2 linked regions of the Alligator mississippiensis genome follow. The protein of the gene in region 1 interacts with the protein of each later gene in a biochemical or structural test. Links are inferred from orthologs where the notes say so. Each region holds a gene or a part of one and is shown in the gene's direction. Other genes may lie near its edges.

Region 1 (7,199 bases):
CACGAACTTCCTTAAATGAAATAAAGCAAATGAAATCTTTTCCTTCAATACATCTGGCTGGCAACATAACAGCATGGTAATGGTCTCCCAAGGAATTGTGAATTCAGTTTATTCATCCTCTGATTCAGAATTGACCACTTACCAAAAAGTAATAAGGATAATATCCTAGTGAGTATATATTAACTGTCACTGTGCTGTGATGCTTTGAAAGACAGATGTATCTTGGCTTCTGTAGCTGGTGACATTGTAAAGCTTAATTTGTGTAAGTAAAAATATTCAGTCTAGAGTAATAATATTTTTTTCTTAGCACTTTTCCCCCAAAGGATTCTAAAGTTTAACAGCAATGAAATGAACCTGACTTTGGGGTGGAGAGGGTCTGTCAGCTCATCACAGATAAATGAAAGAAGAGGAAATTTTACCTAAGGATGTTAGCTAAATTAAGCTATTCTTTAAGAAAACACCAGTGGTCATTTAATATTCATGAAAAATACCCAAGACTTTGGTATTTAAAAATATCATTCAAAAGACCACTCAAAACTTAATTATAGACATCTGAAAAGTGAAGGCCCAAACTAGTTCTGAATCAGATTTAAACTTGTGACCCAGAAAGCAGTGACCACAACATCAGAAATAACAACAGGAACAACACTGCAAGTCCAGAAGTTCACTTACTCGCACATCCACTGAGCAGCCCACAGTCCAAGATGGATTTCCCAACACCTGATTTTGGCACAACAGATGAACAAGTGAAGATTTCCCAACACCTGAAAGCAAACATATATTTAATTTGCATGATAGACAACACAGATCCTTACATTTGCCATTAACACCATATTTTTTGTAGGGGTGCACAGATATATTGGTCCGATATCGGATTGGTACCGATATAAAGAAAATTGGCTGTATCGGAAATCGGCCCGATGCAGCTGATAATTTGGTCGATAAATGCCAATGTGTGTGTGTAGCTGCAGCGCAGCACTCAGGCAACAAGGAGCACAGCGCAGCAGCATGGAGAGCTGCCTCCAGCTGGTAAGTTTCTTGTGGTGGAAGGGGCATTGGGGGGGGGGGGGGGGGGCGGGTGTTCTGCCACCACCACACACCTGGCACAGCCCTGGCTCAATGCCCAGCCTCCACCCATGTGCTGGGAAGGGCCGGGGCTGCACCAGGTGTGCGGTGGCACTGGGAGGGGGCTAAAGCGAAATTTGGGGTGGCTGTAGCCCCCTCCATAGCTCCCAACCCAAGCCCAGCCCTCGGTGAGAAGAGCCCAGAACAGCCTCAACTCCTGCCCGCAGGTGCAGTCCATCTGCCCTGCCCCATGCAGACCCAGGGGGCACAGGCTCCACCCCTCCGTGCCCTCCCAGGGTGCACACAGCAGTGGGAGCACCCCCCCAACAAGCCATGGCTCTGCCCCATGCCCTGTCCCAGCTGGGCAGAGGCTGCCCCTGCCCCCTCCCTCACCATGGGCATTGATCTGCACCCCCCACGCCCCTTCCCTCCCCTGCTCCCCTTCCACCACAACAGACTTACCAGCCGGAGGCAACTCTCTACACCGTATAGGAAATCTAATTGGTATTGGCTGATATGCCTCCTTAAAAATTGGATATTGGTATCGGACCCAGAAATCTCTATCGATGCACCCCTAACTTTTTGGTATGCCGTTACTAACATACCAAAAAATGGCACTACAATAATTAGTGGGTTCAAGCGATACTATTAAACCCAACATTTAAATGAATGTTCCAGCATGCAATTGCCTTAAAGAAGGTACTGATGATGGGTATGTGAGAAATACAAAAAGAGCTAACAGCATGCTGACTTTAGTTGGAAGGGTTGTATGAGGCCCATCATTTACAGAACATAAGAACTATCATTTACTGGTCAGCCCATACATCTATCTTGCCCAGTATCCTGTGTTACACAGCAAGGACTGCAGAGCCTCTTTCCTGTCCCTGGTCCAATCTCATCTCCAGGCAGAGTATCGCTGGGTACTGTCCACTGGAGCCTTGGACTTGTTTGAAGGCCAGTGGGCACTGTCTGGTGTGCTCTGCTGGGTGTCCCTCTTTGGCACACTAGCTTTAAACCTTTGATCTCACTCCTATCCCTGTTATGTCTTTAGTTGTCCCCAAAAAACAGTTGTTGCCTACCTACTGGCCTTCCTCTCTAAGGGACGCTTACAGTGTTTCTTTGAGGGTACTGCCCCATGTTCCCTAGGCAACAAGTAAGCTTGTTACACAGCAGGGATGGCAGAGTGACTTTCCTGTCCCTAGTGCAATCCCATCTCCAGGCAGAATATCACTAGGCAGTGCCCACTGGCTCCTTGGACTTGTCTGAGGGCCAATGGGTATTGTCCGGTATGCTCTGCTCAGTGTCCCCCCTTGCCACACTAGTTATTAACCTTTGACCACTCTCATTCCTGTTGTCTTTAGTTGTCCCAAGCAATTAGGTGCTGCCTTTCCAGTAGACTCTACGTTTAAGGGAGGCTAATAGTTTATTTGGTGGGAAATGCCCCATGTATCTTCTAAGGCAGCAAATAGACCTTTGTCACATAGGCAGAGGGGAGGCTGAAAGGGAGAGTGAACAAGGTGTGACTAGGGGTTTTCCCATCGCTCTCTGCTACTTGCGTCCTCCACCATTTAGGTTGTATGTCTTATTAAGTTGAAACATGGCTTATCCACCGTTATGACTGCTGCATCTAGTTTGGGGCACTACACAGGAAGAAAAGCACAGCTGAATTGCAAGGACCATGCAAGACAACTAAAGAAGTAAGTGGGCTGGCAAGGACTAAACGAGAGAAGAGTGGCAAGATGAGGGCAAGCCCCTTCAAGGAGCTGTTTTGCTGAGAGGAGGAGATGGTGACAGGTTACCCCTGAAGTATCTAAAGCCATGGCCCTCAACCTTCCCAGGCTCAAGGCCTCCCAGGAAAATGACAGCATTCAGGTCTCGCTCAATTTTGGGAAAAAAAGGAATACACAGAGGTTGTTTTAAACTGCAAGACAGAAGAGGGCGAAAACTAGATTCTACTACGCTCCTGCTTTGGATCATGTTTAAGTAGAAATGCTATCATTTCTAGCATTTAAGCTCCTTAAAGAAGTACACAACAGATCCCTTCTCCTAATGTTTCATACCAAACTGTCTCTTAATACCAGAGCTTCTGGATCAAATACAAAGGTTAGGGAAATGTCAAGTTATATCCTGTCTTTTTTAACTCTCCATTTAGGTATCATTTTAGTGCATGACTTAACCAACAAAAAGTCCTCTCAAAACTTGTATCGCTGGTCACTGGAAGCCCTCAACGGGGATGTGGCTCCAATGGGAGTTCTTGTGACAAACAGGTGAGTGTACAAACACACACACAGCCCTAAATATGCACGTGGGGTCATTGTTCATCTCTGGTCATTGCTCAGAGCACTCACAGAAGTGCCGTTTCTGTTGCACGTGTGGAGCAGGCCTGGCTGTTGCTGGGCTCTCCAGGAGTTTGACAGTGGCCTGGGTTTAGAAGAACATGTCCACGTGCTTGTCATGCCATGCTTCTCAGGCCGCAGGAAAATGACTTCACTCCCTGGTGCCCCAAAGGAGAGGTCGGCAACCTATGGCCCACAGACTTCGTCAGTCTTGCATAGGCCCAGTCCTCCAGAGCATGGGGGATGGGTTCCCGAACGAGGCTGAGCTAACTAGAGCCCGCCCCCCCCCCCCCCCGGGGGGGAGGTCCACAAAGAGGCCCAGAGCCACCTAGAGCGCCCCTCGCCCAGCGCCCCGCCCCCGCATCTACGCCCCGAGCGTGAATCGCAGCTATGGGTTCTACACCAGCTCCGCCCCCTGCTCACGTCACCGTGTGCGTCACTGCGCCCCCCTCCCCCGCCACCAATGCCCGGCGCGGGGGAGAAGGGTCCGGTACCTGCGCAGGCCTAGGGTGATAACGGGAACTCCCCCCCCAACTACTCACCGGAATCCCCCAGCACCAGCACCTTGACCCTGTCCAAAGCAGCCATCTTAGCCTGCCTAGCAACAGCCACTCAGCACGCCGCCCAATTGCGAGCTAACTCTCCACCCATTGGCTCCGCCTCTTCCGCTTTCCATTCGCCGAGGCGGGGAGGGGGCGGGATCAAAGGTGGCTATCACAGATAGCGATTGGTTCCCTCCTCCTGTCCACCCAGGATGGCGGGTGGGCGGACCTCTCCCTCTACCGTTGGCGTGCCGAATAGGCGCTTGCGTCACAGCCGTGCGACACCGCCCGCGTGCGCGGCTAGGAATTTGTGACGTGCATTGCCGGAGACGGGGGGCGCCAAGCACCACCCGGAGCCGGCAGGTCAGTCCCGCGCGCGCGGCGCCAGGCTCTCCGCTCCCGGCCTCCTGCCAGCTACTGCGCAGGCGCACCCGGAGCTTGCCCCTCCCGCCGGGCAGCGGCGGGGTCGAGGTCCGGGTCCGGCATCACGTGCCTGGCGCATGGGCCTCCCCGGCGGGCCGCACGGACCGCCCACGTGGGCGCGGGGTGGTGTCCCTCGGGCCCGTCTCCCCAGCCGCTCGAGGGGGGCAGCTGAGGAGCCAGTGGGGGGCGGAGGGGAGCGTGTCCGTTGGCAGCTGTGGGGAGAGGGGCCGAGGCGGCGCGGAGTAGTTGGGCATCTGCCTGGCCCCCGCCCCCACGCACTCTGCTCTGTGCCAGCACTGCTCGTCTGGGCCACCGTTGCCCTGGGGTGCTGCTGCTCCCTGCACAGAAACCGGGAAGGAGCCTCAGGTCCAGCCTTGCAGCTAGGGCAATCCTGGAGGCTTTTATCTTATGCAGCAGGGGGCGCGAGAGGAGCCAAGGGCAGTCCTCCTGCACTGGCTGCGGGTGCATGGGGATATTGTCCTTCTGGTCATAGACAGTAGGTCATAGTTAAACCATGTGGGCTGGAAGGGACTTCAGTAGGTCATCTAGTCCAAAGTCCTGCTCAAAGCAGGACCAGCCCTAACTAGATCATCCCAGCCAAGGCTTTGTCGAGCTGGGTCTTAAAAACTTCTAAGGATGGAGCTTCTACCACCTCTATGGGGAACCTGTTCCAGCGCTTTGCCACCGTCCTACTGAGAAAATTCTTCCTAATAGCTAACCTGAACTTCCCTTGCTGCAACTTGAGACCATTGCTCCTTGTTCTGTTGTCTGCCTAATATCTAACCCAGCGGTTTTCAACCTTTTTTGTACCAGCACCCATTTGTAAACATTGATGGCCAGTCCTGACCCAGTGCCCCCAGGCCCAAGCTCCCCAGTGTGTAGGGCAATGGGGGGCCCCAAGCAGCTCCTCGCAGGCTGGATATCTGACAGCCTGCAAGGGAAAACCCAGCGTTTCCTACATTTGTCTCCGTTTTAAAAGTTTGTTGATCCGTTTTTAAAGTTTGTTTGCAACCCTTTCATATATTCTTGCAGCCCACTTTTGGATCGTCACCCACAGGTCGAGAAACACTGATCTAACCTAAACAATCAAGAGCAGTTACCTACAGCAGAGAATACACAGGCATGCTTGCTCCTGGGTTGTCAAGGTCTGAGGCCTCTTGGGATCCCTCTTGGTGGTCTGAGGCAAGCTCTGGCCTTCCATCCCTGTGCGTTTGTGTGGAGGAGATGTAGACCATTTAGGGTCAAATGTCTGTAATTGCTGCATAAGGATCTCTTGGCTAGTTGTGGCTTGGCTTGGCTTGGCTTTGTCAGCAGTGAGTGTGCATCTCTGCCTTGCGTGTCCAGGTTCCCTTGAAAATATCCCTCAACATCTGCCTTCTTACGTACTACTTGTAGCATCATAGGAAATAGGGGTTGGAAGGGACCTCAGGAGGTCATCTAGTCCAACTCCCTGCTCAAAGCAGGGCTAGGGTTGTCACAGGGGTAGGCAATGTTTTTTGGCCGGAGTACTGAAAAACACCACAATGCCTACCTCGGAAGGTGCCGGCGTGCTGGCATGGCAGAAAAACAAAATGAGGGTAAGGGGTACATGGCAGGATGCCCTGGTTGTGCCCCTTGCCCCCCTCACCCAAAGCCCCTGCCCCCCCAGCCCTGCTGCCCCTTGCCCCCCAGCCTGGGCTCTGTGGCTGCCAGCAGCTACCCTGGCTCTGGGTAGCTGCTGGAGCCCGGGCTGCTCCCAGCAGGGCTTGCAGTGTCCCAGATGTCTGCTGGGAGCAGCCTGGGCTCCTGACTGACAGCAGCTCCCCAGACCCGGGAGGCTCCAAACAGCTTGTGCCAGGCTTTGGCATCAGCTCCACACCAGCACTTGCACCTGCATGTCAGAGTGGGCGATGGGGGAGGAGCCTGAGGCAGCTCAGCCCTGGTCTCCCGCTCCCGGCACAGAGGTAATAGCAGGGTTCCAGAGCTCTGCGCAACTGTTTGTAGCCAGCCTGGGCTCTGGGCAGCTGCAGCAAGCAGCAGGCAGGCTGCAAACAGCTGCGCCGTGCTCTACAGCTCCGGCATTAGCTCCGTGCTGGCAGTGACTGCATGCAGATCTCGGGGTGGGCTGCACTGCCCCGCTGTCTGCCCTGAGGTGCATGTGTAGTCACCACCAGCACAGAGCTGATGCCAGAGCTGTAGAGCCTGGCGTAGCTGTTTGCAGCCTGCTTGCTGCAGCCGCCCAGAGCCTGGGCTGGCTACAAACAGCTGTGTCAAGCTCCGTGCCGAGAGTGGGGGAGAGACTGGGGCTGCACTGCCTCAGGCCCCTCCCACCGCCCACTCCGACGCGTGGGTGCACGCGCCAGTGCAAAGCTGATGCCAGAGCCCGGCACGGCTGTGGGGAGCTGCTGCCAGTCGGGAGACTGGGCTGCTCGCAGCAGGCAGCTGGGATGCTGCAGCCCTGCTGGGAGCAGCCTGGGCCGGAGCTGGGGCTGGCTGTGGTGTGCCATGCTTGGCATAAGTGCCAGGGGTTGCTGACCCCTGGGTTACCATATGTCCAGTTCCAAAAAAGAGGACACCTGTCAGGGGGACACCTCACTCCCCATCCACTGCCCCCTGGCCCTGCCAGTACCCCTCAATCCTGACCTACAGCCCCCAACCTTGCTGCTGACCCACAATTCCCTCCCCCACCCTCCTGGTCATGCCAGTGCTCTTCACACTCAACCCGTGACCCTTTGGTGCTGCCAGTGCCCCACAGCCAACCCAAAAGCCACCCTACCCTATGCTCTCACTTCCAAGCCACAGTGTCCCGTCCCGTCCTCTCCTGTTCCATTCCTCCCCCCACCCCCGGCCGCCC
Region 2 (7,747 bases), on another chromosome or scaffold:
GAGGACAAGTTCCTCCAGTTTATTCCCCAAGCTCCTGCCATTCATGTACAGGCACACAAGTGTCCCCTTGGGGGCCCTAGCCTTGCCCACAGATTGTTCCAGGGCTGGAGCAGGGGTGGGCTCCCTTAAGCGCCTTGGCCTGATGGCTTTGCAAGGGCTGCCCAGGGGGCCAGCAGTGGTGGTAGTACCCCCACCCCCCGGTGGGATTAGTTTAAAGCCCGGTGGAGCAGGTCAGCCAGTCTGGCTGAGAAGAGCCTCCTCCCCAGCGGAGAGGTAGAGGCCATCCCTTCCCAGCAGCTCACTGCCTCTCTCACCAGAGCGGACTGTGGTCATGGAAGCCGAAGCCTTCCTGATAACACCAGTGCCGCAATCTTTGGTTCACTACTTGGATCCCCCTCCCCCTCCTCAGCTCATAGCCCGAAACCAGAAGGATCAAGGAAAACACCACCTGCACCCCCAACCCCTTAAATCCCATTCCCAAATCCCTGTAGTGCTTCATGACCCAGCTGGGAGTGTTCGGAGCTGTGTCAGTGGTACCCACATGGATGAGGAGCATAGGGTAGTGGTCAGTGGGCCAGAGGAGCTTAGGGATCTTCTCCACAATGTCTCGGATAGAGGCTTCTCTATCTGGGAAGCAGCAGACTTCATGGGCCAAGGGATCAGGGCGGCAGATTGCCCCCTTAGTCCCGCTCAGGATGGAGTCTCCCATGACAAACACTTTGCATTTTGTCTTGGGGAGAGCGGGGGCGGTAGCTACAGTTGAGCCTGTGTTGCCTGCTGGGGCTGCAAGAGGTTCATACCTGTTGCAAAGCTCCAGTGGGGCAGAGACCTTGGTGCAGCAGGCCTTGGGGCCCTTGACCACCTTCGTCCATCCCCGTGGCTGGACAGAAGGGGAGGTCCCGGTGTCCTCCCTTGTCCTGAAGGGTGACTGTGGTCTACCCTTCGCCTCCTGGGGGAGAAGGGCCTGGCAGTACGAATTGATCTCCTGCTCACAGTCCCTGATGGCACACAGTCTCTGGACTGCAGCCTGGAGCTCCTCCAGCTGCGTACCATAGACCCCAAAAGGAAGCATACCCCACAATGAGGGCTGGCCATGCTTCCAGACCCCAGAGCCTGAAAAAGTGACAGGCAGCCTAGAGCCAGGGGCTCCGTCTGCATGGAGCCCGGAACCATGGGTTCAGTCTGGGTAGAGACCTCTGAGGAGCCAGGGAGCAGGGGCCGCAGACCCTGAGGGGACCCTCGGGGTGCTGCGTGTGACCATCTGCAGTATGCTGCTGGTAGGCCGGCTACGGTTGGGAATGCCTATCCTAGCAGGCTCACAGGCAGGGCCTCGGGCCCTCCTGCTCGCCCTCCTGCGCAAACTCTGAGCTAACTTGTGCACCGGGCAGACAAGCGTGCCTGTTTGCACGGCCTGTTCGTGAGGCTCCGGTCACATGACTCCCTGGGGGGCTAGGCGAAGTAAGGGCCGGGGCGGGGTGAGGCCCTCCTTGGCTCCTAATTAGTCGCCTCCCCACAGCTGAGCTGAGCTATTCCCCTCCCACCACGGGCCCTGCCTGCCTTCGGCTGCTGCTGGGGGGTGGTGGGGGCGCTCCACACCTGTTGGGGGTTGCTGGGGGGCTTCGAAGTGTGGGGGTGCAACAGGCTTTCACCTGTGTGTCTTGCGCCGCCCCCTAAGCCTCTCTTGTTTAGGATGGTTTGGATAGGGATGATCCTGCTTCAGGCAGGGGGTTGAACAGCCACTAGGTGATCTCTGGAAGTTCTTTCCAAACCAGGGGCAGACAAAATATGGCCCACAGGCCAGATCCAGCCCTCTGAGCACTTTCATCTGTCCTGCGGGGCCCCCTAAGAAATTGTGCTGTGCCCAGCCCTTCTGTCCATAAGGGCGGGGAGTGAGGCGTTCACGTGTACATGCAGCCCCAAAAATGTACCCTATTGCCTGGCTCCCACCCTCATGGGCAGAAGGGCCTGGACAACCAGCATGCAGCTTCAGTGCAAGGGTGCTGCTGCCACTGCTGCAGCCCCCAGGGACCTGCTCTGCTTCTCCAGTCTCCTGCTTGCTCCAGGCAACAGACTGGGAAGCAGTAGAGGTGGGGCTACAGCTGGGTGGGAGCGTGGGGTTGGGGCTGGTAGCAGTGCAGAGCCTGTGCCCAGGGGGATGGGGCGGCGGCAGCGTGGAGCTTGGGTGGGCAGTATGAGGGAGAGTGGGGGGTGTGTGGGGACCCCTCCACATTCCCCCCACACTCCTGCCCTCCCCCATGGCATGCAGCCCCTGCAGGCGGTGGCAGCAGCAGCGGGGGGGGTGGTGCTTAGGGTGCAGGCACCTGGTGGGATGCAGCTGCGGCCAGAGCTGCACATTGCAGCGAGGGGTGCAGTCTCCGCTGGGCCACCTGTATTGCTGGTGTGCCCCACCACATGCACAGCAGTGAAGGAAGCCCAGCGTGCTGGAGCCAGCTGCCTTCCCTGCCGGGGCTGCGTAGCACCAGAGGGAAGCCTCAAGCACTGGAGCCAGTTGCCTTCCCTTCAGGGGCCACATTACAGGGGAGGGAAAACTGCTTCCCCACCTACTGCTGCACCATACGGGGAGTCCCCCCAACCTTCCCTCACATCCACACCCTGCCCCCACATATACATAACCCCCCAACACACGTACCTACATCCTACCACAAACCCACACCCCACCATACACACCCATACTACACATACCCACCCTACCATACAACTTCCCCCCACAATATATAAGACTAAGAATTTATTTTTGAGTTATTATGCAGTCACCACTACACAAACACAAAACATGACAAAAATATTTTTTGTAATAAAATTAAAATAAGTTATAGTAGGTGTTTGACTTTTAGTGTATGATTTAGTTTTTTTCTGGTTCTAAGATGGCAAACCTCCCCTCTCAAAAGGAGTATTTCTGGGGGCAAGGGAAGGGACTTCTGGTGGCAAAGGTCAGGGGTTAAGGTTGGGACTTCTGGTCCCAAGATGGCAACAAGGGAATGGGGCAACCGTCAAAGGCCAGGACTACCCATGTGGCCCTTGATAGCTCACCAAAACTTGTTGAGTGGCCCTCCACCCGAAATAATTACCCAGCTCTGTTGCAGACCAACTTCTGTTATTTTTGAAAGAAAATAAATGCAAACTATTATTAAAGTACGGTGTCAAGATTTTTATACAGCATTAATTTAATATCCAATTGGGTTTTTCTTTAAAAAGGGGTGATTTTTCTAAATTTTAAATGCTGGTTACATTGAATCTTTAATCAGGGCAATCCACTTTACATTTGTTTTTCAAAATCTACCTAGGTTGAAATAATAGATAAATGAGGCTTCAGAGAGTCTAGTGATAAATTTAATGTATTTATTAGATTTGTACCCCCATTCAAAAAATCTGGATTTGTGAAATTCTGTTCTTTAATGCAGATTTTACTGTTTTCTGTGGAATGCAAGCTTTGCTTTCCTTTATAAAAATCAAGTCCTCGTTCCTTTCTATGCCAAGGGAAGAGATCTGTGAATCAATGTAGCAATGCTTTATTAAAGTAATCAACAAAAGCAATGGATAAAAGGCCTAGCAAAGTGGGAGGCGTCTCTATTTGGTGTTAGTTCAGAGAAATAATCTGCATTTTAACAAGTGTGAAGGGTTTTTGGTCCTGCTAAACTACCTCAATTTGAGGTAATACAATTGAAAATACTCCTTTTTGCCAATCAAGACAGTGCCCAGTCCTAACAAGTTAAGAACATCACACCAAGTCATTTTGAAATCTTCCTACAACTCCTCCTTGGTTACTGCAGGGACCTGCACTTCTGCCTGCACCCTAAAGGTGCTTTACCCACTTTTTAGATTTATTCCCTTCCTGTTTCCTCCTCCTCGTTCTGTCCTTTTATGGTTGGTGAAAAGGACTGTACCACTGCCCCTAATCAATCAGGGACCTTATATAAAAAACAGTAGTTTTGTTTGTTTGTTTTTCCCAGGGCCTTAAAAACTTGGGCCAAATAGCTTTGTGGAACTATTCCATGTCTGGACACTTGGTAATAAGTAGGGCAGAGTGGCACGATAGAGACCATATGGTTTAGAGGCTGGTTTCACAAGGGACAGCCTTTGTCCGGTGCTAGGAAAGGCTGTTTGCACAGGGCAAGCGTATGCCTCTCTGGACCAAAGACTGAAAGCGAAAACAGCAACTTGATTGGGAATCAAGACTGCATCAAACCCCAGACCTTCCAGGGCAAGCCATTAAGTACCTGCCAGTTAGCCGAGCTGATACTTTGCCTTAAAACCATCAGGGCAATTGGAGCGAATTGCCGTTTAAACCTGTGCAGATGGGACTCACATCCCGGCCCACTCCGTCCTGGATGAAACTGGCCGCGTGCTTCCGAGCGCACAATGCGGCGACGCCGGCTGCGGGCTCCCAGGGGAACGAAGTTCTTGTCTCGGGTCAAACCCGGGGAGCTCTTTTCAGCCTCGGTGTCCTACGTGCACCTCAAGGACCTTGAAGAATCCGAATACAAGCGCTAATTCGCAGTCGCTCCCATCCCGTCACCTGTCCTGATGCGACTCAAAACCCGCGGAACCAGCCCCTGATAAGCCCCGCCCCGCCTGGGGAGGACTGGGAGGCAAGGGTAGGCGCCAAGTAAGGGAGACAATCTTTTTGTCCCCGCTCGCAGCCCGTAGTGAACCCGGCAGGGCCCCGCCCCCAGGCCCGAGGGTATATAAGGAGGTGCGCGATGGCTGTATTTGCTCCTGCGCAGACGTTGCAGCGGAGGAGGAAGCAACATGGCGTCTACTAGCCGGTGAGGCGGGGGCGGGGGCCGCGCCGCTGCCCTTGGTGGTGTAGGGGAGGCCGAGCGTCGTGGGCTGCGGCCGTGCGGGTCCTCCGGGGCCGGGAGGGGAGCCGCAGGTGGAGGCGGCCGGGGCCGGGGCCAGAGCTGGGCGCACTAGTGGCGGCCTCCTTTGTTCCCTGACCGTTCTCTGCAGCCCCGTGGCGGTGGGAGCGGTTGGGCCCCGGCCGGCCGGACGTGGTCGGGCCGCCTTCCTGCCGCCGCTGCTCGCTGGGGCGGGCCCGGCGCTCCTGCCTGGGCCTGGCTGGAGCAGGCCGCGGCCTGCGCCCGTGTCGGTTCCTCTCCGGCGCTGCCAGCGGATCTGGTGCTTGACCCGGTCCCTTCCGCGCCGGGAAGGGGCTCGTTCCTCCAGCTCGGCGGTCAAGGCGGACTTCTCGGGCGCTGCCGGAGGAATCTTCTTTAGGCCGAGTTTTGCGGCGCTTTTATCACAGCGCTAAGTGACCCGGCGACGGCTACGGCTGGCCGAGTGCTTCAGCCTGCGTATGAGGACACGCAGGACTCCAGATAGGTGGTCTAGGAGCCGTGCTGGCGTAGGTGTGGGAAAACGGGCATCCTCTAAGCTGTCAGACACCACTGCACAAAATGAAACCGTGCCTGCCCTTGACTTCTGTAAAGCTTGTGGCTTTACTTCTCTTTTCATTTACAATGCCAACGGCCTCTTGTGTAATGACAAATTATCAACTGGTTGCTTGTGATGCTTTGTCATTTAGTCTGGCCATCTGAAACATTAGCAGCCTAGAGTATGGTGGGGAAAGCAGTTGTTTTACCAGGCCTTTACACAAGGTTTTCAAGAAGCAGCTAGAAAAAAAAATCTTTGTATTTTTTTAATATGTAAATGACTGTTTGTAGCTTTAATGTTTACTTTCTACATTTAAGAAATAATTAGTAGTTGGAGTATTGTGGTAGTAGTTTGCCTAGTACTGATAAGAAAGCCACTTATTTTTCTGACCAAATCTCTCTGTTTTGATGAGTTGCTGCCCTTCATTTTAGTAGATGGCACCTATAGCTTTAATGAATTGAAGAATCCAAGTAAAAAAAAAGTTACTATACCAACTGAATGTAGTCAGGTTGTGAGGTTTTAAGATGATCACATTTTCTAGGGTCCATATACTGTCAACAGTGTTTTTTATAGGGTATCTACTTGTAAAATGTTTAGTGAAAATATTTTCCCATAGTAGGATTTGATCAGTGCTTAATGTCAATATGTACTTTTATCTGTGTTAGCAAGATTATAGCTTTGAAATCCTGTGTAAACTGCAAGTGAATTTGGGGCACTCCAAATGCTTTCTTACGTTGTAGTTAGCGCACATTTTGTATATTGTCTGACACTGATACTTTGTAGCTGTTTTTGCCTTGTATTAACATTTTGTTGCAGCTGGATTATTTTTCCTATTATATATTCAGTTACATTTATTTTGGTTTTTAATATATTTGTATGAAGGCAGAAACAGTCCTGAAACAGGACTTTAGTTCATCCCATTATCCTAGTCACCCATTTCCTAATCCCTTTTATAAACTGGTGATTTTGTTTCTGCTTTGAGATTGCTAACATTTGTTTAAAGGTAGTTTTTTCTTTAAATATTTCATATGATGTGGCAATGGTATTGTCCTGTAAGCAGAAATATTTTTTTTTGTTTTCTAAAACATTGTGGGCAGTGAACATTTTATTTGAAAGACACGTAGATTTTAGATCACAAAATGTGTCTCAGTCTTAATTTCTTCCAGGTCTTAGGCTACCAAATGTTTCTTATGTATACTAACTACAGCCCTGGATATCATCCAGTCGTATCATTTACACATTTTTTTTTTTTATTTATTACTCAGCTCATTTGTGATGCAGATTAAAAATGGTATCAATGGGGTATGGTTTGAAGGGTTTTTTTCTTGCACTATCACTGAAATAGAGGTTTCCTGTTAGATGTGAATAGTCTTTGGAAACACAGACGTTGATTAAAGTTTGTCGGCAGATAAAATATCTAAATATTTTTCTTTGTTTTTTTTAGTTTGGATGTTCTTCCAAGAGTAACTTGCCCAAACCATCCAGATTCAATTTTAGTAGAGGATTACAGAGCTGGAGACATGATATGTTCAGAATGTGGACTAGTAGTAGGTAAGTAATCATTCAGGTTATTGCAGTTCCCTTTCAAAAAATGAAGACTTATTTGTTTTTACTTAACTTTTGTGTGCATAAGACATTAATAAATTAGAAGTCCTTATTGCAGAAGTGTTTTCCCTTAGCTAAAAATCTACCATTTTAAGTAGGTGTTTTTTCTGGTAATACATTATATTGTTAAACCAATCTTTTGTATAAAGGGTCTGTTGTTGACTAGAAGCCCACATTATGAAGAAGAAAGTTGACTGCTGCTCTTGAAACCTCTGACCTTTGTGGTACTAGAGGTTGACCATGTTATGTTTTAGGGTCATATTATGTAACCTGGGCACAGTTGAAGACTTGACTGTACTACGAGGCACAGCCATGACAGTAGGGTGTACATTGAGATGCATTAATGGAAATGAAATATTGAGCAAGGGGTCTGACTTTTAAATCTTGGGCTTCACCTTGCTAAGAGATAGAGCTAAAGACATTAGGCTAGTGGATATCCTTCAAAATATTTTGAAGCCTTTAGTACAAAGAAACATAGGAATTGCCATATTCAGTTAGGGACCATTGTGGGAAGCCTAGACCAGAATCCTGTCTCTACCAGTAACTGGCACCAGTTATTTCAGAGGAGGTGCAAGAAACGGGCCACAAGACACTTCAGGGAATAATCTGCTCACAAGGAAGGTCTAACTCAGTGATTCTCAACCAGGGTGCCATGAGATTCTCAAGTGTGGCCAAGATGCCTGTGCAAACGTGATTTACCAGATAAACCCAGGCATATTAAATAATGATAAAAGCATTCCGACCTGTT

The links. The genes of interacting proteins can lie anywhere in the genome.
Region 2: the proteins of GTF2E1 (region 1) and GTF2B form a complex in vitro, tested with the Homo sapiens proteins (2 studies listed by BioGRID). The link is inferred for Alligator mississippiensis from reciprocal best matches to the Homo sapiens genes GTF2E1 and GTF2B.

What each region holds. Positions count from the first base shown.
Region 1 is NC_081824.1:253,467,762-253,474,960, forward strand, and holds the start of GTF2E1 (general transcription factor IIE subunit 1), read left to right. Parts: upstream 1-4,188; 5' UTR 4,189-4,306; intron 4,307-7,199. Other genes in the region: RABL3 (rab-like protein 3), read right to left, coding at 673-764, 3,944-3,989.
Region 2 is NC_081828.1:30,984,519-30,992,265, reverse strand, and holds the start of GTF2B (transcription initiation factor IIB), read left to right. Parts: upstream 1-4,689; 5' UTR 4,690-4,770; coding exon 4,771-4,787; intron 4,788-6,838; coding exon 6,839-6,945; intron 6,946-7,747. UniProt on the Homo sapiens protein: General transcription factor that plays a role in transcription initiation by RNA polymerase II (Pol II). Involved in the pre-initiation complex (PIC) formation and Pol II recruitment at promoter DNA.